Linked DNA regions of Drosophila melanogaster. The protein of the gene in region 2 purifies or fractionates together with the protein of the main gene of each other region. This does not show direct contact. Each region holds a gene or a part of one and is shown on either strand. Other genes may lie near its edges.

Region 1 (4,671 bases), on a different chromosome or scaffold from region 2:
GCAGCGATTCTTCGAGACTCCCGCTGCAACCGGATTGCTGTTCAGACGCTTAAGGGTATTGGCTCCGTTGTCAACCGGATCGTGCATTCGCATATGCACGTCAAGAAGTGACTTCACCCGAAAGGTTGTGCTGCAATTCTTGCAGCTAAAAACTTTCTCCGGAATGCTTTTTGTCGATGTCTTAGCCGGCTTTGAGGCGATCTTCTCAGGCGAACGCACGCTGGTCACAGCGAGCGACTTTCTTATGCTGCTCTTTGTTAGCTTGGAGACGGGCAAGCAGCTGCGACGGCTTAGTGACACACCGCCACCGACACTCCGCTTGCGAGCTGGGCTGTTGAGCGTTGTCTTGACCACCACCGACATGCGCTGCTTGAAGGAGTACGTTCGCGTCTCTGCGGTGGTGGTGGGCAGATAGGAGCGCCGAGGGCGCGGTAGGGCGGCACCCGAATAAGTGGAGCTCATGGACTGCCTCTTCTTGCCCGCCTCCACTTTTAATTTGGAGGTCGCTGGCTTCACAGAATCAGCGGAGATCTTTAGAGCTTTGGCAATTAGCTCAGAGACTTCGTTCACTACCTCGTTGACATGGGCGACCTCCTTTTCGGCTCCGGCTGGCGAGACCAGCATGGATACTCCTTCGTTGGATACTGTAAATGTAGATGTTTATAGAACGAAACCATATCTCAATAGTATAAACCTACCTTCAGTTATATTCTCTAAAACTACGTTCGCACTCAAGGGATAGACTTGGCTGGGAGCTGGGGTCTTGGCAGCCTCCTGCAAGGATACATTGTCCATGGTAGCATCCCCTGTTTTTAGGGTATTGGCCTTAACCGTATTGGCGGTCACGTCCACTGAACTGGACAAGGTCGAGTTATCGCCGCCACACCCCTCCGGTTGTGTGTTTTCCTTGTCGTCAATTTGGGTCAGATCTATGCTCTCCATGATCTGTGGTGTCTGCGTTTCGGTCGAAATATTGCCCTTGGAGGGAGTGGAGCACAAGGCGTTGTGCCGGTTAAGAATACTTTTGTCAAATGGGCGCAGAGGAGAATTCTGGTCCGGTTCCCCAATGGTCAACTGATGCAGATCCTTTAGGATAGTGCGCCTTAGGTCCTTATCATCGGTGTTTACCTCCACCTTGCTGTTGTGCACCTCCAGGAACTGGCTGTTCTGGGTGACCAGGGCCGACTGCCACTTGGCATTGGACAGGGTGTCCTCCGCGTCAAAGGATAAATACATGGAGACGCTCTCATCGTTTGTCATTATCGATGAGCTACGGGAATCGATCTGCTGGAAGTGAAACTATTGTTTTAGCAATGAAAATGGGATAATGTTCGGAAGTCTTTTCCCGGCAAATGGAAGCAACACCAACTGAAACCACCAAACACTTGCCTTGCCGGCCATAGTTCTGCGCGAATCGTCCATGGTTAAGTATATGCTATTCCCAATTGGCCACGAGGAATTCCCAAATTAATAAATACAAGCAATTAAGCAAAAATTCGAGCAGCTGAAGACCGACGCTGTACCGAAAAAACAAAGCGTTAATATTTCAAACACACTTTTCAACACTGCGCGCGCAATGAAGATAGCAACGGCGCCGATGGGAATGCGCGGCTTTAAATTATGAAAAGTATTGAAAAAACTATAAATTCTTCACTACTTTCAAATTGATGTTAACGCGTAGGAGACTTTGTAGAAATAAATCTAATTTTTTCGGCACACGACGAATTGAAAGGTTACAGTGACTAGATGGGAAATATTTTTGAAAACATAAAATAATTGTGTTTTATCAGACTCGAACAGGGTTCATGTCTTAGATAAAAGTGTAATATCAGACTGGATTATTAGTTTATGCATGGTAAATCGACTTTTAAACTCAGATTTAATAGTAAAATGTAAGAAAGCCCTCTTTCGTAAATAGTTTGCAGCTTGTTTTGCTTAATTTCTTTAATTGTACTTGTTGCGAACTAAGCCTAAATGCAATATTAAACTTTTAAACTCAGATTTAATAGTAAAACGTAAGCAAGCCCTGTTTCGTAAATAGTTTGCAGCTTGTTTTGCATAATTTCTTTAATTGTACTTGTTGCGAACTAAGCCTAAATGCAATATTAAACAGTGTGAACACACGTAAAAATCGCCTATCGAAAACGACATCGATACTAACATCGATTTTTTTGCAGCTCTAGTATACAAATTGGCGAATTGTTGTGTGGTGTGAAAATTCATACTTTCGCAAATAAATTATTAAACCTTGGCAATAAGTTCCTACGTACGGAGCACAAACGAGCTCATCCCCGCCCCAATTACATATCCACCGAGTTCACACACCGAACCAGCACCAAGGGTAGTTTTTCATCTCGCGCGAGTGAGTCACTGGCCAGATTTCCCCACCCAAAAAAAAAACAAGACAGCCGTCTTGCCTCTCAACCACTTGCCAAGCTCAAGTTCAAGTGATCTCACCAGATAGATAGTTCCGAAATGGCCGCCGTGGAGAATGCCGAGCCGCGCACTGAGCTCCAGGAGCTGCAGTTCAAGTCCGGACAGGTGGCCGATGAATCCCTGGAGAGCACGCGTCGGATGCTCGCCCTCATGGACGAAAGCAAGGAGGCTGGAATCCGCACGCTGGTGGCCCTGGATGACCAGGGCGAGCAGTTGGACCGCATTGAGGAGGGCATGGACCGGATCAACGCGGACATGAGGGAGGCGGAGAAGAACTTGAGTGGCATGGAAAAGTGCTGTGGCATCTGTGTGCTGCCGTGGAAGAAGGTGAACATCAAGGACGACGGTGAGAGCGCCTGGAAGGCCAATGACGATGGCAAAATCGTGGCCAGCCAGCCGCAAAGGGTCATTGATGAGCGGGAACGCGGCGGCATGGGTGCACCACCGCAGTCCGGCTATGTGGCCAGGATCACGAACGATGCGCGTGAGGATGAGATGGACGAGAATCTCGGGCAGGTGAACTCGATGCTGGGCAACCTGCGCAACATGGCCCTGGACATGGGCTCCGAGCTGGAGAACCAAAACAAACAGGTTGATCGCATCAATGCCAAGGGCGATGCCAACAACATTCGCATGGACGGCGTGAACAAGCGCGCCAACAATCTGCTCAAGAGTTAAATATGCACAACGGCCACGTCCCGAAACCATAGCGAACATGTTAGTCAGACACCACCTCCATTTCAATGTTGTTAGGGAAAGAAACCAATGTTGTGGGCACAAACCGTAGCTGGTGGTATTGCGTTATTGATACCATATATTATACACATATACAAGTAGTGGCAACTACTCCTGGCAAACGCAAGCGTAACAAACCCATCTACTTACAAGAACTTTAAGCCGCCGAGCCGGATGAACTAACTACTACTTTCTAAAACTATATATATATATATATATATATATATATATATATATATATATATATATATATATATATATATATACATATATGCGAACCAACATACTAACTACTTACTATTACTACACTCGTGTACAAATGGCAACCAGATGGCGCCGGAAACAATTTTATTATGAGATTTACCGTATATGATGTACTCTGTTTTTGGTACAAACTTTTTGAGCATTTTACCGATCTTTGTGAAATCAAACCAAGCAACTGCTGAGATGGATAAATGTGAATTAATGTATTTACAATTCGTAGAACCACCGCATCCCGCACGGGCACCGAAAAACCAAACAAAGACGGGCGGAAATTATGTATAACGTAGCCAATTTTATGTTCTCCATTGTTAACCCTTTTTAAGTAGGCCATGTATTTGGGCATTTCGCAAGCCCAGCACAGCAGTCCAAGCACCAATTCTATTGAATTACACTAGATTTGCACTCGAACCTCTTGCTTCGTACATATGAATAATTTATCCCCAGTGAATGTAACCCCGATCGAGTTACGTAGCTCTAGCTTAAGTACTTGAAATTGTTGGTTGCAATTATCGCAAATATTTAAGAAACTACCTGTTTGTGCGCAAGATATTTCTCGTTAATTATTAAATGTACTATGGAACGAGTATAGCCAATTGATTAGATAACTTATTTATCGCTACTATTGCCACTTTAGCTTACATTCTTAGCTCTTAATTGCAAGTAAATATAAACAAAATAATTCACCACCAAAACGTGTTAATGGATTTATTGCACTGTACAAAATATTTCGATTAACTGAGAATTTTAGGGCACTCGAAAGTAGTTGCTGGTTGCTATGTAGCCGCTGAAGTCCTCGTCGCAATCGTCGGACTGGGCGAATTCGATTTCCGGCGCCGCCTCGACGGGAATGTACACAATGCTGCCGCGGGTTACCAAGATCTCCTTATCTCCCTGCTGGGTTTTCAATTTAAGAATGCGGGATCCCTTTAGAACTATCAATATGGAGCCGAATGCTTGTATCTCCAGCTTGTACGACTCCAGCGAGTGTTCGATATTCACATTTATCACTGCAAAGTCGGATACTGGCGGAATATAGACCTGGACCTGGTCATCTATGCGGTACGGAATGAACTCCTTGCGATCCTTATACGAACTTTCGAAGATCACAGATTCCAGCAGCTGGTCCACATCCTTGTACTTGGGCGTTAGGCCCGCCCGTATCACATTGTCCGAGCAAGCCATGCACTCCACACAGTCGCCGTCCAGGTAGGCATGAATCTCGTTCGCGCCCAAGTA
Region 2 (6,192 bases):
AGGAATTTCTCGCAGATCGCTACTACCTCAGTCTCGTGCAATTTGTCGTCAGCTTCCTATCCATCCAGCTCTACGGATTTTTCTACCACATAATCGTTAAAAAGCCTATGTGGGTGCGGTTATTGGCGGGCCTCTGGACGGTAAGTACATGAATGATCTCAACTGATGGTGTCCATTTCGAATGACCTCTTTTGATCTGCAGTACGAGGTGAACACCATGTCGATCATGAAGCCCGCCAAACGTGCCCCTTATATAAGCCTCATCCTGTCAATCTTCCTAACATTCCTTATGATGATCATCAGTGTGATATACGGAAATAGTGCCATCAAACACAAGAAAGGCCTTTTCGTAAGTGAAGAACTTGTTGACCCGCCGACACTTACCTCCTTTACCACAGACTACCCGGCATAAGGTTATCCTGTGGAGCGAGCGCATATTTGTCCTCACCTGCTTTGGCATCATCGTGTGTGCCGAGATGAAGCGTGTTATCATAGAGTTTCCAACCCTGCTAGTATACACCATTCTCTCGAGCGTGGTAAGCCTCAGGGAAACGAAACGATACACCTACTTTCCCATTTTTAAAATAACGACACAGTATTCCTCCAATTTTGCCCACAGTTTGTCATAGTCTTTGGCGCTTCCATGCGAAAGCCGAACTTCTACCGCCAGGAGTCGACCGGGGACTACATACTGATCGGCCAGCTGTACTACCTCAACTTTTTTGCCCTATATATGGGCTATGTGTGGACGACAGCCTCGTTTATAGAATTGATGGGATGGCGCGCGGACATTCATGATATATTCGTGTACCTGTTCTATCGGAAGAACATCGAATGAGTGGAACGCATGCGTGGACTATCGGAACAGCTGGGACAGAATGTTTATGCGAGACGATTCAGTTCCTGCGGCAATTGGTCAGTGCCTCGATGTCGATGGGGCAAGTTTGTCTGGGTGCCCGCGACTGCTGTCGTCTTGTTTCGATTCGGTTTGCCGGAAAATCGATAACTGTTTCCATGGCACGCGCATCTTAAGCAAAAACGCTGAATGTAAATAAATGGCTCTGTCCGCGAAACGTTTCCATAAAACTTCGGTGGACTTGATGGGTCCGGTTAAAGTGTAGGTGGCATGATGTATTTTCAATTGGATGATATACACGTATATATAATTGTATATAATGCAATACACATTAATGGGACCTCTGGTCTCGGCTACGACACGTAAAAATGTTAAGTTTAACATTAAGATTTAATAATTACATTCTGGTTAAATATATGCTAGACGCAATTTTAGTAAGTTATCCTTTTGATTTTCTTCATCTCCCCTTCTCTCATTGCGCGAAAAGACCAGAAAGGTTTCCGTCCCAGTTGTGTTTGTTTGGTCCTTTTCCATTTCGTATCCATGTGTTTACCTCACTCCCTAGGAGGCCTTTAGTGCGGCGGTGCTTGGGTGATGGCCTTGTTTCCTCCACCACTGCCGCTGTCACTACTAGACGGCCAAACGGACACTAAAAAGGGAAATACGCAGATATTAGAGCTATGTTTATATCAATTCAACGAGATATGAAAAGGATTTCATATCCTATCTCGCATTTAAATGAAATCGCGGTCTTTTTAAGTAAAAGTTCTAACCACCCAGCACATTGTACTGAGCGTTTTGTTGACGAAAGATTTCTTCAGTTATTTATTAATTAACAACTTTTAAAGTCAGATTTTATCTTCCCGCTTACTATCTTACATACCTTTCGATGTCAGCACGGATTTCGTATTGTCATTCTTATTTAATACTTTTTACGCGAGTTTAATTTGAATAAAATCGAAATGACTTTTTAAAATGAAATTTCTCCATAGAACAGAGCCCTAGCCCCAACATTGCACTGTAGATATAACCATTTTTAACTTCTTAATAGCTTTGCTGAAGCTATATACATATGTATGAACTTTATAGTCTACACACGTATGACATGGAGGTTCTAATCTTCGCACACTACAGACTAAACAAATATAACGATAATTAACACTTAGGACAGGCACAAGAACAACAATTACCTTTAGAGCTTTAGAGTTGCTTAGCTTAAGACTTTTATAAAATATAATAAACAATTTAAGGAGTATATAGTAGGAGCCAGTACACGTACACAAACGTGTTAAACGATTAATCTGAACCTTAACTTTGCTGATTGGGAAACGGAATTACATGATTTTTGTTGGCTTTGCTTTTGTTTTTCTGTGAGTGTGTGTTTAATTGTATCAATTGAAAAGCGACACTGCAAGTAAACAGAAATTCACAAGGGGTTGTCATCAGTACGAGTAGGAGTATCTGTTATTGGATTAGTTAGCTGCAAGCCACATGGACAAGTTGTTAGGACCGAAACCACAGGTTGAGCAAGATTAGGGCGTTTGCAGGGCGTCGACTTGCGTTATAGATATAACAATACCAAACCAAACCAGCCACCTAGCTACACTACTGATCTTTAGCCTGATCGAGAAAAACCGCAACCAGAAAGAAGCACCAGCAAGAGGCAAAAAGCCGAAGCGGTATAAAATCGGTTAGCTTACCCAGAACGATGATGAGCAGCACAACGGCTATCACGCCCAGAATGATCATCATCTTCATGTTGGCCCACCATTGCTTGCGCTTCAGCTTGCCGGCCTGCTGCTCGAACTGGGATGCTCCCTGCTCCAGCTGATCCGCACGCTCGCCCAGTTCCGATAGCTTCTGGTCCCGCTCCAGGACCTTCTCCACGTTCACACGCATAATCCCGACCACCTCGTCCACCTTGGCTTGGGTCTGCTGCAGCTTCTTCTGGGCTGCATTGTTGTTCCTGATTTGATGGTCACCGAATTGATTGTAGTTGTCATTCGCGTTCGGCGGTGGCGGAAGTATGGGAAAACTGTACAATATTATGTGTGTTTGTGGGGGTTGCTTACACTTATTAAGAGCAGCAGATGGATCATCAAGCTGCAACGCACAAAAGCACGAGTCTTGGTATATCATGCCATCGTTATCTATGCCAATTCACCTTTCACGTTTTAATAATGGGACTTGTGTCCTATAAATACTTTCTTTCTTCTTAAATTCGGATAGACTAATAAAACTTCACAATCTCAAGTGCTGTTGAAATTCCATTGACAAAAAAAAATATAAAATGAGTAATATTCATTTGTTTTTCATAGATGTTAAATGAAACATACTTAAGTATGTTCAGTTACCATTTGCGATAAAGTGATTAATAAGCAAATTCTGTTTCTGATTATAAGCTACTTGCAAATGTTTTACAATTTAGAATCGAATATAATTAATACTTTTTTGTTATTCGAGTTAATTTGCCATTTCACATTAATATTCCATCTAAGATAGCAACTGACTTTACAATATCTCAACTTAACTGAATGCTTTTAATGACCCTAATTGATTTCAAACTACAACTGAAGCTACCGCTTGGGCAGCAGCATGACGTTTACGGTATTCCAATGTCCGAAAGTGAAGTCCGAAGACTTTACTTCCGGTTCGCTGTGGCCCATATGACTCAGGTGACGTCACTGTATGGGATTTTCCTTGCTTTTGTGCGCTGAGCCTGTTGATTCGATGGATTTCCACCACTTACTCGTTGTTGTTGGATCCCGAGGGGGAGGGGGCTTCGTTGTTCTCCATTGTGAATTTGCTGCGGAAAGAAAGCGAAGCAGAGAAAGGCCTTTATTGGATGTCTGGTTCTTTAAATGGGGAGAATGCATGTTCCATCACACACACACACCCGAAATTGTTTAGATTACAGGGCCGAAAAGAAAAGAAAACAAAACGCAGCACACGCCTTATCTATTCGGCCTATGAATCACTCGATTTATAGGAATGCCATCACCTTTGCTCGAAAAAAGAACTTGTTGCATGCCGCACTGCCAACAAACGCTGTTTACATGGGTGGAACGCCACCCCCAACCACCCACCACCCCCGAGCACTCACCTTGACAATGTGCCTGTAGAATACTGCTGTGTATTTCGGGTTTTCCACGGAAAACTGCGGCTGCTTTTTAAATAGCACTATTTTTTTTTATAGAAATATCAGCTTGTGATCAGTGTGACCGTTGAACTATTAGAGCTGGAACCAAGCCCGATACCTTATCGATACTATCGATGTTTCCTGAAAACCCCTTGCAAATATAAAAAGATAATACTTATCTAGCTTATAAAAAACATGAATTGGTATATTTAGTATGTGTATCGGCGCACAAATTATTGTTAACAAGCACTTGCATTCCATTTTTCTTTAGTTCCTTGCAGATGATGTTTGATTTCAAATCAATGTCTTATATTATTGTATCTTATTTTATTACTTAAATTACCAGTGCCGCAAGCCAAAATGAAATTTTTGTTTGCTCTTAACTGATTTATCTTTAATACTTTTACAAAAGATCAGCGAAAATTATTAATAACGCACTGTTGCCTAAATAGCAGAGACAAAAACCAATAAACTGTTCTACCGAGCCATGTACATGTATAATATGTAATAAAAATGTAGAATTCCACAGCAATGTATAAAATTTGTGATAATTCGTTACTAGTTTTTTTTACAGTCTCAAATGTGTGTTTGCATTTTACTATTGCACTTAGATAACTAATTATTTTATTATTTTCAATAGGTTGAAAATTTTGTAAGAAACTATGGAAAATGCATAACTCCCTGGTGACCAAGTTGCTGCTGCGGCTTTTGCTGCTCTTCGCCTTGTTGACCGGCGCCTCCATTGTGGTGCTCACAAAGTGCGGATTCGATGAACTGACGACGAGGGAAACTCAAGCCAATAATCCGAGTGAATCCAGCGGATTCAGTTACACCTTAAGCGAACGAGAGGCGGAAATTGAGCGGCTGAAACAGGAAGTCCTGGCTCTCCGCACTCAAATCCTCTTTCTACAGAATAATCGCAGCACTGCCAAGCCATCAAATGGCAGTCTTCAATTGCAAGAAACCACCGCGGGGCCACCAACTGCACCACTGGGTCACCATTACGACTGCAGCAGCTATATTCGCAAGCAGGTGGGCGCCGCAGAAATTCTGCATGGACTGCCGCTGAACAACGAGTACGAGCTGATACCCTACAATCACTTCACCTTCACGCGAGTATATCCCATCGACTTGGGCCTGGGAAAGCGCGTGGTGGAGAAGCCCATCGGTTATCGACGACGTGACCTCATCGAGGCGGTAAACAAGGCGCTGGAGAGCCTGAACAGGAATCACTCAGCGAGAATACGAGCCAAGGGAGCTGGTTCTGCAGCGGCTTACGCCTCGGATGTGATCAAATACACCCTGGATGACTTTATCGAGGGCATATACCGCAACGAACCCACCACAGGCACCCAGTACGAGCTGTACTTCCAGAGTGTCAAGCACCAGGCGAGTCCAGTGCGGAGAGCCCTGGTCATGCGACCATTTGCTCCTCTGCAAACGGTGCAGCTATCGGAGCTATCTTCCAGTGTGGATAATAGTGGTGCCCCTCCAAGTCATAGTCCGCCCATAATCCACGTGATACTACCGCTGGCTGGACGTCTGCACAGCTTTCGCGGCTTCCTGCAGATGTTCGCCAAGCTAGAGGATCGTCGCCTGGAGCTTATTGTGGTGTACTTTGGAACCAGTGGATTGGAGCAAGCTAGGAGCCTGGCTGGACGATCCCAAAGGACTCAGTTTTTGGCACTCAATGAGACTTTCAGTAGGGGTAAGCACGGGTTTCGTTTATTAATATTACATTTGTTTCGTTCATAATACATATGCAAGTTTATAATGCATTACAAATAATATTGGTAGTTAATAATAGCCATTTTGCTTATAGCCAAAGCTTTAAGACTGGGAGCGGAGCACATTCAACCCGCTGAGGAGGACGTGCTGCTCTTCATGTGCGACGTGGACATTATGTTCACGACCAAGTTCCTGGAGCGTTGTCGCTGGAATGCAGCGCCTGGAAAGAAGGTAAATATATCTGCTATTATTTAAATTACTAATACATTAACATCTATTTTCAACGCTTAGGTCTACTACCCCGTCGTATTTAGCCTGTACAATCCGCATGTGGTGTACTCACTGCAGGGCAAGCCCTTGCCCAGCGAAGAGGAGCAACTGGTGATATCGAGGGACACCGGTTTCTGGCGGGACTTTGGCTACGGAATGACGTGCCAGTACCGCTCGAACTTCCTAAAGGTGCGCGGTT
Region 3 (5,303 bases), on a different chromosome or scaffold from region 2:
CTGGGTGAACACCGGCTTCGTTGCTAAGGCTTCCTTTAATCTTCTCCCCATACGAACTCCACATCCTTTTTCAATAAATTGCTCATTGGATAAGCAATCATACTGAAAGACCATAGGTTCGTTCACCAGATCAAAGGGCATCACATAAAATTAATTCAGTCCACTTGGTGTCATAAATGCCGTTAAATGCTTGCTTTTCTCGTCCATCGGGACCTGGTAATAACCAGAGGTCCAGCGTCTTGAAGTATATGCTTCCGGATAGCAGGGCCAATTGTTCCTCTACGATTGGCATCAAATAGAGCGTTTAAAGCCCGGTAGTCCACGCATAGGCACTCGTAATGGATACCACTATAACCATCGTCGTCGTCTTGCACCTGCCAATTTTCGATCCAATCTTTTTCAAAACATTCTTCATAGGATTTTAACAGATTGTTAATGTTCGTATTAACGTTGAGTTGACCGTGTCGATGAACGCTTTAAACTTTTGATCTCCAATCAGAACTGTTTTTACTATTGGCGGATACTCCTTATGTTTTGCCTCATGCACTTGAGCATTCTTTGACGATGTTTTCACCTTGCAATCCTGTTCATTATGCCCAATCCTAGAACATTTGGAACACCGTTCATTTTGCTGTTGCTTTTCATTGCTGTTACCTTGTTCAAGTGCGTATGTCCATTGCTAATAAGGCTTTCGTGAGTTCTTGTGAATTAAGTCCGCTGAAAATATATGAATTTATTGATGACTCCCACGTCGTCCGATACATAACATCGCATAAAAGTATTCGATGAATGACTCGCTATTGCGTCGCTATCGTCGCAATAAATCTCTTTGCACATCGGCTGTATTCATCACACTTGGAAAATCAAGTGCGAATGCCGATTTGAATGATTTTGAATGATCGATATACCTGCTGTGCATTCATACATGTTTTTGCAACTCCACGCATCTCCTTTAAATCATTGATTTGAGTTTGCATACTTGTGCTTGCGTTTTGATCCAATATTTCGTAAACATCAGTATCAATTTCATCATTTCCTAGTTTCGTCATCAATTCGTTCACCTTTGCCGGTTTTGTTTCCTTTGATTTGGATATCATGAGGCCGCAGGATCACGTCAGTAAATCACTAATCTTTAACTAATATTTATTTTATATATATAAATTTAATATTTGTATTGTGCATGAATCTCCAATGAGGGCGTCCAGCTCGCTGGAGAACGTCAAAAAGTTGACCACGCCGGGGACCGTGATCCGCAGTACTTTAGGTAGACGGCGAGTAGGTGGGGGTGCGCCGGGAGCAGGTGTATTAATTATTGCAGGCTTCAGTTTGCCAAGATCGATCGCGGCTTGCGAAGTGGGGGGGCATCCTTATCTGCAGGGCGATAACCGCACAAATCGTTTATAAGCCTTTAGCGACTGCAAAGGCGTGTTCCATGTGTTATTTTGGGGAAAAGAATGGAGTCGCTTTTGTGGCGTACTTCTTGGCATGCTCTAGGCAGAACCGGGGAGATCGGTGAAATGGATATGTGTGGATATGCAGTGGATATGCTTGATGTGGTCATACTTGTTGTATTGAAAGTTGTGATTTCCCACGGGGTGGAGATAACAAGGCATTCGCCATTGAGTAGTTGGGCTTGCAGTTCTGATGATCCTACATTTGCGATTGCCTTGATTTCGTCGAAGTGAATTGATTTCCTTAGTGATAGATTAATATTTTCTTCCATGCCAAAAAACTTTTAGCCACGCATACTCAAGCGCGCACTCTAAATAACGGGTATCTGGAGGTCGTTAACCTCTGCTCTAGCATTCTGTCTTTTTTAAATTAGGATCGTTACGATCGTCAATGTTTTCTGGTATCTAAGATATTTAGTAATGGCTTTCTTATGAGGGATTGTATTAGAGTTTTTTTAATAAGTATAAATTTACATTAATAATGCGTTTTTCGCTTTCTTTCTATTTTATTTTTACCAATATTTAAGCTTAACAGCAATGTTATTTTACTGTAATTAATTTGCAAATTGTTTTTAAGATTTTCTAGTGCTTGTAATTTAAATTAAATTATTATGTATTTCTTGCATGTGTTTGTCTTTCCTTAAAAAATATAAGAAACCAAAATATACCTACATAGCAACTGAAATTAATACAGATTTATCGTAGTTAAATAAAACAAGAGTGAATGCTATAGTCGAGTTCCCCGACAATCAGATACCCGTTACTCAGCTAGTGTGAAAGCAAACCCGAAATTGCATCATTTTTCTGGGAATTCGATAGATATTGGGGAATAAAATGAAAAAAATTAAAAATTGGTCCAAAGTGGTTCGGGCCAAGACCGGTTCGGTGGCTTTAGGGCGTTAGAGTGGGCGTTTCAAAAAGATTTTTTGCAAATCGATAGAAATTTACCAGACAAATAAAATTATTAAAATATTACTATTATTAAATTACTCTACGAGTAGTGATGATCAATAGCCAAGTCGATCTAGCCATGTCCGTCTGCCCGTATGAATGTCGTGATCTCAGAAACTTTTAAAGGATGTGTTGATATTTTTTGCGTTTTTATTAGTCTTGTAAATTTCTATCTAACGCCCTAAAGGCGCCGAACCGGTCAGGCCCATACTTTGGAACAATTTTAAAATTTTTTCTCATTTTATTCCTCAATATCTATCGATATCCAAGAAAAAATTTGGAGTTCGCATTAACACTAGCTGAGTAACGGGTAGCTGATAGTCAGGTAACTAGACTATAGCATTCTCTCTAGTTTTTGATTATTATTGTAAGCTTTTATTCGTGGTCATATATCAAAAACCAATTATTAAACTGTATTTCCATTTAACATTATACAAATCGATTTATTTTCTTGCGAAAGATTTCAAAAATAAAAGAAACCATCGAAATCACACTAGTCCATACTGTTTTTACAAATAGTTTTGACATGCTAAATTTATGCCATGCCATTTTTAGGCCGTGTTTTGCTTGCGATGTACACAAAAAAATATATGCATTTTCTTTTGTAGTACCTGACTTTTTAAATAGCTGTTAGAAGAATAAAAACGAATATTTTTCCCGTATCTTTTGATACCAAAACACACAGAACTGTATAAATATTAAACACCAAATTGAAACAAAATCAGGTGGTTCAGCTATGACACTTTTAGCCTTAAACACGTGCGCGCGCAGGGCTTATACGAATGTTTAAGTGTATTATTTATATTGTTCCCACCAGGAGAAAACGCAATAGTCCACTTCCTCGACCATCAAATACCGTCCACTCCCGTGACTAATTAATACCCGTACTCTTGATGATATGATACTCCCAGCTACTCTTGATGATATTCCGAATTCGAATAAACAGATGTAATAGTCTGGAAATGGAACAAGAGAGATTGCTATAGTTGGTTACCCCGACTATCAGATACCCGTTACTCAGCTTGAGGGAATGCAAACGCGAAATTTCGTCATTTGTATGGGATATCGATAGATATTGGGGAATGAAATGAGAAAAAATTTAAAAAAATATGTTTGAAAGTGTGGGCGTTACCGTTTTGGGCGTTGTGTAGGTGAAAGGAGGAACGTGGCCACAGTGTTTGGTAAAAATTTGAAAGACAAACAATCTCCAACCAATCTCTTTGTTTTTATAGGGGATGCATTTTGAGTAGACGTCAATACAGGATAAATATTCTTTATTGTCTAGCATTAATATCAATAACGTAAAGTTCTCTTCAGTTTTTTGTCTCTGGAGTTTAAAAATAAGTTTCGTTGGTCTACGTACTGTTTTTGCAAGATTGCAGACTTTGAAAACATCAATGATTTTTTGAATATATGTATTATAGTCGGGAAAATAGTGGGTTTTTTCAAAAACTCGTATAATTTTTTCGATACCTTTATGTGTTGAATTCAGCGTAATAGTTAATGTCCTTTAATTTAATTATAAAAACTGTTACGTTGCTGTTTGGGTTAATAGTTTCAAGACTTTTTATAAAATATTTTTCTATTTACAGATACATAGATAGTGATAGATAGATAGTGACAGTGACTTTTCCATTTTTCAAAGTGCGTATCATGAAACTATTAACCCAAACAGCAACGTAACACTGTGGCCCACCCCCCACTTTCAACAACAAAACGCCCACCCTTTTAAACAATTTTTAAATTTCTTAAAGGTGTAACGAGGATTATATTCAGTTCGTGGTGGACGCCGAACATAAGACCGAGAGCCTTTCCCACCAAGCAACACAATTTTGCTTTCATCTGACCAAAAAATGTTTCGCCACTTCTCCACAGGCCCGTCCTTGTGTATCTTGTCATATTCAAATTGCTTTGCCACATGCTTAACAGTCAAAAGCGGGACTTTTCTGGGGCTGCACGCATTAAGGTTGCTTTGTCCTAAGCGTTTGCGAACAGTTTCCACGCTTTTAGCTATCTGAAGCTCCTTCTTCCATGTTTCGTTCTTTTCGACAAACAGCAGTGCTTTGCGGATCATTTTGTTTCAGCAACCGACAATGCGACCAATTTCAGAGTAGGTTTTACCTTCAGAGATCATGTTTTTAATCAAATTTCTTTTTTCGACGGTACAATGCTTTCCGCGACCCATGACTAGAGAATTTTTGGTCTTCGTTTGGAAAAAATTCAATTAAAACCTTTAGTGCAACTCCGTTTTTCAAAATTTGTCGAAAAAAAACCAAAGTAATCACCCCTATTAATTTTATTCAGCAAATACGTGGTCAGTGCTATTTTTGTTACCGCCTCATTTTGGGCACTTTTGCAGCAAGTGCCCAAAAACAAAAAAGAACCGTTACATTGAAAGAGTAAAAATTTCTTGCTCAGAGATGCAACATATGGTACTTATTATTCATACAATCTGACTTAAAAAAAAAAATAAACATTTAATAATTTTTTTTACGAAATCAACTTTCCACCTGCAGTAGTGCTATTGTTTTAAACGCAGCTGTATATACAAAAGTTACGCTTTAGATTGGCCATCAAATAGTCCAGATCTAAGTCCCATAAACAATTTTGGTGGCTAATAAAGAGAGATCTTTGAAATGAGCCACAAAGGAACATTTCGGTCTTTAAACGAAGTTGTAAGCGATGTGAGACTCGATTTCTCGAGGACATTGCCAAAACTTTTTAAAATCAACGCCAAAACGTGTGGCGACGTTATACAATTCTAATATTAATAAATTTGTTATATTACGCAGCGTTTGAATTAATAGTGGTTATTTTTTCTTATCTCTTAAGTCTACCTTTTGAGTAAATAACTCATATTTTTGTTGTTGAAACTAGATCAAACTGCTGAACAAACTGCTA
Region 4 (4,460 bases), about 14 Mb from region 2:
CGACAGCCTTCGGATAGACCACACAAAACTTGTCGCGGTCTTCTTGGGGGATAGCATCGATGCCCTTCGCATCTCCTATGAGCGAGTAGTCAATTACCTCCACTTTAAAGAGCGCATCCGCCTTGGGCTTGATCCGCGGAGGGCAACCGAGTTCTCCGAAAAGCAGCTTGTAGGAGATTATAAACTCGGCCTGCTCGTAAGGACGCATGCTGCGGACGGCGACCTCCAGGCCTTCAACCACCGTTCCCTGGCCAGTTTCAAACACGAATTTGCTGCCCCGCAGCAGGGAGGAGTCGAAGGGAGCGGTCTCGCCCTCCCAGTAGCCACTGTACCGAACCGAGACCCTAGCCTTGTTCGGCACCGCCTCCCGATCCACGTGACCGGTGCGAGTGATCCGCTTGTAAATGTTTTCGTCGATCTCGCTCATCAGCGCACGCAGTTCGTCGAATGAATATGTCCACGGTGAACGTAGCTCCTCGCCGTCCACGTCCAGCGCATCCTCGTAGTCGCTGTCGCTGTCGCTGTCGAGACCCAGATCCCTGGCATGGTTCTGCTGCGAATTGTCGACCTCGAACTCAACGCCCTTTTTCACGAGATCCCTGCAGAATGAGTTGCACGTGGTCATGAGTGCCTTTAATATGTATCTTATTACTCACGAATAGGACAAGGGATTCTTGAGCAACTGTGGGGTGTACGGTTCGAAGTTTTCTTCCATTATCGCAAAATTTACAGAATATTTACGAAACGAATTCCGGAATGCGCTGAGTTGGCGCTATTCTTTTGGATGCGTTTGAGAAAAGAGCTTTCCAGCGATGGTATCAACTGGAATTCGATTGCTTGATAGCTTTAGCGAATCGATTGGTCGCTGTTGTCCGGAAGTTATCGAATTCAAACAAAGAACTATATATCTTTATTAGGGCGCGAGCACTGCAACTCGAGATATCTTCCGAAAATGTATAATGTATTCCAATCCAGACGGGGAAACACTAGGCCAGATATACTTGCTTTTTATATGAATCTTTATTTAAAACTGAACACTTATCGCTCTCCAACTACGAGCACTCCATTGAGAGAATTGTTTTGGTGTGTGTAACAATAAAAAACTAGGAAACATAATGAGGAATGCATTCTTAATGGCCTTGTGAAGTGCTCACCGTGCGATATGGTATGGCTAAGATTTGTATATTAAGGGAGGGCTATTCTAAGCAATGATCAATACAATAGTATGCGAATGCTCGCTTGTTCACTTCTTCAGAAGCTTGCTCATGTCCTTGTTCTGCTTGTGAATCTTCAAGTCGACATCCTCAATTTTGTAGTTCATGTTATCCAGCAATTCATTTTGCGACTCAATTTCGCCACCCAGATCGGTGGCCAGCATCTTCAGCACCGACAGGTTGCTGCACATCTCCTCCAGATTGGAATCGATCTGGGCCTGGAAGGGATTGGCCGCCTGTCGCTGGGGCTGGTAGGTGCTGCTGGGATCACCACGCAGCTGGCTAACCGGATGATTGTCGTAGCGCTCCGCTGGTGATAGCGGAGCCGAGGGGCTAGCACCGCCACAGGCACCCTGGTTAATGTTGCTATTGGCCTCCTGGGAGGACTGACTGCCCGTGGGCGAACCAGTCGCGGTGGGTGGTTGGTCCCTGTTGCCCGAAAGGTAGTTCTTGAGGCCGCCGAAGACACTCTTCAGACCAGTCAGATGGCGCTGGCTGAAGCGCAGCGTGGAGCTGATCTCGTCCAACTGATGTGATGTCTTCTCCAGTTGCTCCCGCTGCTTGGCCAGCTCCACGGCCGTCGCCTTACCCACCTCCTGGGTTTCGTAGAGCAGACCTGGGGGTTGTAGGAGAGAGACGCATCAATAACGCCCCTTAATTGGCTGGCAATTGACCCCATGTTTACCCAAGCTTTTGTTGGTAGAGTCCAGAGTTCGCTGCTCAATGGCCCTTCGCTTCTCAGCATAGGCCAGTCGCTGTGCGGCCACTGATGGCGACGAGGTTATCTCCTCTTCGTCATCGTCATCCATCTCGAAGGGATTGGTGCTCCTCTGCTGCGGAAGCTTGGCTGCTCCCGTCCGTTTGTTCTGCAGGAATAGGTCGTCGTCCACGTCCTCGAATCTGTCCACGTCATCGAAGTGATCGTGCACTGGCTGCAGGTAGTTATGGGCCATTTCTTGTGGCGAGGGAAACTTCCAAAATGTCGAATTTTGTTATGTTTTCGTAAACTTTTATTTTCTTTGTTGTTGTCTGGAGTTATCGATTGCAATAGCGATGGTACAAATGTAGTATTTGTATGCAGTTCAATCGACTTATAAATAGCTTGACATTGCAGAGGCTTCAATAAAATAAGTTATTATAATTAAAATGATTTTGAAGATACGATAAAAATTGAATTTGTATGTAAGAAAACTTGAAGCTTGATCTAATAAATAAAAAATCGTGTAACGAGCGAATACCGACCGAATCCCCCTACCGATGATCTAGCGGGGAATAAAGCGGCTTGCCATCTCCGATGGATATCGAACCAGCACTTCTGTCAATTTTCCAGCAGGCGTCGCAGTTTCTGTAACTTTTTGGAACTGACCAAGACGGAAGCTTTAGTTTAATTTAAGAAACTGTCGCAGCCGAACGTCACAGGTTTCAGGACACGAATCGGCGGAGCAAAGCACCAAAACATCACCACATGCATAGCACATCGTACTTTGTGGCCGCGACATGCGCGGCGCTGCTTCTGCTGGCGGCGACGGCGCAGTCGACGGCAGCAGCGCAGTCAGGACTGCAGCCAGGTGGCAAGTTAATCGAGTTGGACGAGGACAACTGGCACCTGATGCTCCAGGGCGAATGGATGATCGAGTTGTGAGTGCGAAAGGGTGGCTCTGAGTAGTCCCTACCCACATGAAACCCCGCTGCCCCTGACGTAACATAAAGGGGCGTGGTGCGCCGGCTTTCTCCAGCCGGCAAGCTGGTTCTTTCGTTCTCCGAAATACCAGACATTCCTTTGCGGCGACGATGACTCATCGGCAGCTGTGTTAAACATATGTTTCTCCCTCCATTCACAGCTTTGCTCCATGGTGCCCGGCCTGCAAGAACCTGGCTCCCACCTGGGAGCGGTTTGCCCGCGTGGCCAAGGATGTCCAGGTGCAGGTGGCCAAAATCGACGTGACAACCTCGCCCTCGCTGAGTGGACGCTTCTTTGTCACCGCCCTCCCCACCATCTACCAGTGAGCACCACATAGACCTTTTCAACCCATGAAATACACATCGTCGTAATCCACGTCAATCATTTCCAGCGTAAAAGATGGCGAGTTCCGGCAGTATCGTGGGGCCCGTGATGGCGACGCCCTCCTCTACTTCGTGAAGAAGCAGCAGTGGCAGAGCATCGAACCGCTGTCCGCCTGGAAGAAGCCCGACACCACCCACATGTCCGTGCTGTCCTACTTCTTCAAGCTTTCGCACACTCTGAAGGTACGTTCACCTAGCCCATTATCGCATCGGTTCACTGCATGAGACATAAGCGGAAGCTTATCAGCGGGTTGATCCCGTTGACCCACAAAAGATTGCCGCCCATCACTCATTACTCTGGTCTTTGCTCTCTGCTGTTGTCTTGTATGTTGGGTTCATGTACTAATAGCATACGCAAAAACTCTTTAAGGACTTCAACGGGCGCCTGCAGGAGGAATACGGACTGCCCACGTGGGGCTCCTACGCCCTCTTCGCCATCGCCACCATCTTCGTGGGCGCTGCCCTGGGGCTGCTGCTCGTGTGCCTTGTGGACTTTGTCTACCCACCCAAGAAGTCGCAGCGCCAGAGCTTCTCCGAGTCCCAGGACAATCTGACCGAGGGCCTGGAGGATTTGGCAACCGAGGAGATCGAGGATGATGGCGACGCCGAGGAGAACGATGACGAGCAACGCGATAGCGACGAGGAAGAACAGGAGGACGACGACGAAGAGGAAGAGGACAGCGAGGAGCAGGTGGGCGATCTGGCCACTAAAGAGAAGGAGGCCGACAGCGAGCCGGAAAAGGAAGAGAAGCCGGAGCCCAAGCAGGCCGGCGATGCTGCGCCCGAGAAGACGGAACAGGTGCGCAAGCGCAAGCCTCGCAAAGGCGATTAGGTGCAGCGGGGTCCCTGCGGATCTTCAGCCTTAGCGATCATCAGAAGCGGCAACAAAAAGACTAACACACTGAATCGAGAGGAACACAACCTCTTACCCAAGCATCATTCGAGCGGACATAATCCGTCTGCTCTGCCTTCGCGCACAAAACCGATTGTTTTCCCTCCTTCTAATCCTAGCCAGAAAACGGCGCCCCATGTATTTCATAATTATGTAAAGCAAAATTGCAATCCATTAAGCGATAGCAAGCGTAACAATAACTAAATGTAACTTTAGTCGTATATTTTTACCTTTTGCCAAGCATTTTTGTATTTTGTGTTCAACTTGGTTTCCACACAATTCATTTCTCT

What was found.
Region 1: the proteins of Syb (region 2) and Snap24 purify together in Drosophila melanogaster (affinity purification with mass spectrometry; 2 studies listed by BioGRID, with this or other methods). This does not show direct contact.
Region 3: the proteins of Syb (region 2) and Snap25 purify together in Drosophila melanogaster (affinity purification with mass spectrometry; 2 studies listed by BioGRID, with this or other methods). This does not show direct contact.
Region 4: the proteins of Syb (region 2) and Snap29 purify together in Drosophila melanogaster (affinity purification with mass spectrometry; 2 studies listed by BioGRID). This does not show direct contact.

The regions. Positions count from the first base shown.
Region 1 is NT_033777.3:9,760,654-9,765,324, reverse strand, and holds Snap24 (Synaptosomal-associated protein 24kDa), read left to right. Parts: upstream 1-2,174; 5' UTR 2,175-2,475; coding exon 2,476-3,114; 3' UTR 3,115-4,020; downstream 4,021-4,671. Other genes in the region: CG8478 (uncharacterized protein), read right to left, coding at 1-644, 699-1,299, 1,390-1,422; Mpi (mannose phosphate isomerase), read right to left, coding at 4,180-4,671.
Region 2 is NT_033778.4:10,248,323-10,254,514, forward strand, and holds Syb (synaptobrevin), read right to left. Parts: upstream 4,096-6,192; 5' UTR 3,960-4,095; intron 3,851-3,959; exon of another isoform or gene 3,753-3,850; intron 3,663-3,752; 5' UTR 3,653-3,662; coding exon 3,606-3,652; intron 2,892-3,605; coding exon 2,557-2,891; intron 2,265-2,556; coding exon of another isoform or gene 2,248-2,264; exon of another isoform or gene 2,047-2,247; intron 1,506-2,046; coding exon 1,429-1,505; 3' UTR 1,113-1,428; downstream 1-1,112. Other genes in the region: CG12914 (uncharacterized protein), read left to right, coding at 1-140, 203-349, 399-536, 620-838; Csgalnact (chondroitin sulfate N-acetylgalactosaminyltransferase), read left to right, coding at 4,665-5,703, 5,818-5,954, 6,015-6,192. UniProt on the Drosophila melanogaster protein: Involved in the targeting and/or fusion of transport vesicles to their target membrane.
Region 3 is NT_037436.4:24,072,021-24,077,323, reverse strand, and holds the start of Snap25 (Synaptosomal-associated protein 25kDa), read right to left. Parts: upstream 3,145-5,303; 5' UTR 3,014-3,144; intron 1-3,013. UniProt on the Drosophila melanogaster protein: May play an important role in the synaptic function of specific neuronal systems. Associates with proteins involved in vesicle docking and membrane fusion.
Region 4 is NT_033778.4:23,842,480-23,846,939, forward strand, and holds Snap29 (Synaptosomal-associated protein 29kDa), read right to left. Parts: upstream 2,285-4,460; 5' UTR 2,168-2,284; coding exon 1,900-2,167; intron 1,831-1,899; coding exon 1,244-1,830; 3' UTR 1,004-1,243; downstream 1-1,003. Other genes in the region: shu (shutdown), read right to left, coding at 1-599, 657-715; CG5554 (uncharacterized protein), read left to right, coding at 2,680-2,852, 3,056-3,217, 3,287-3,461, 3,628-4,110.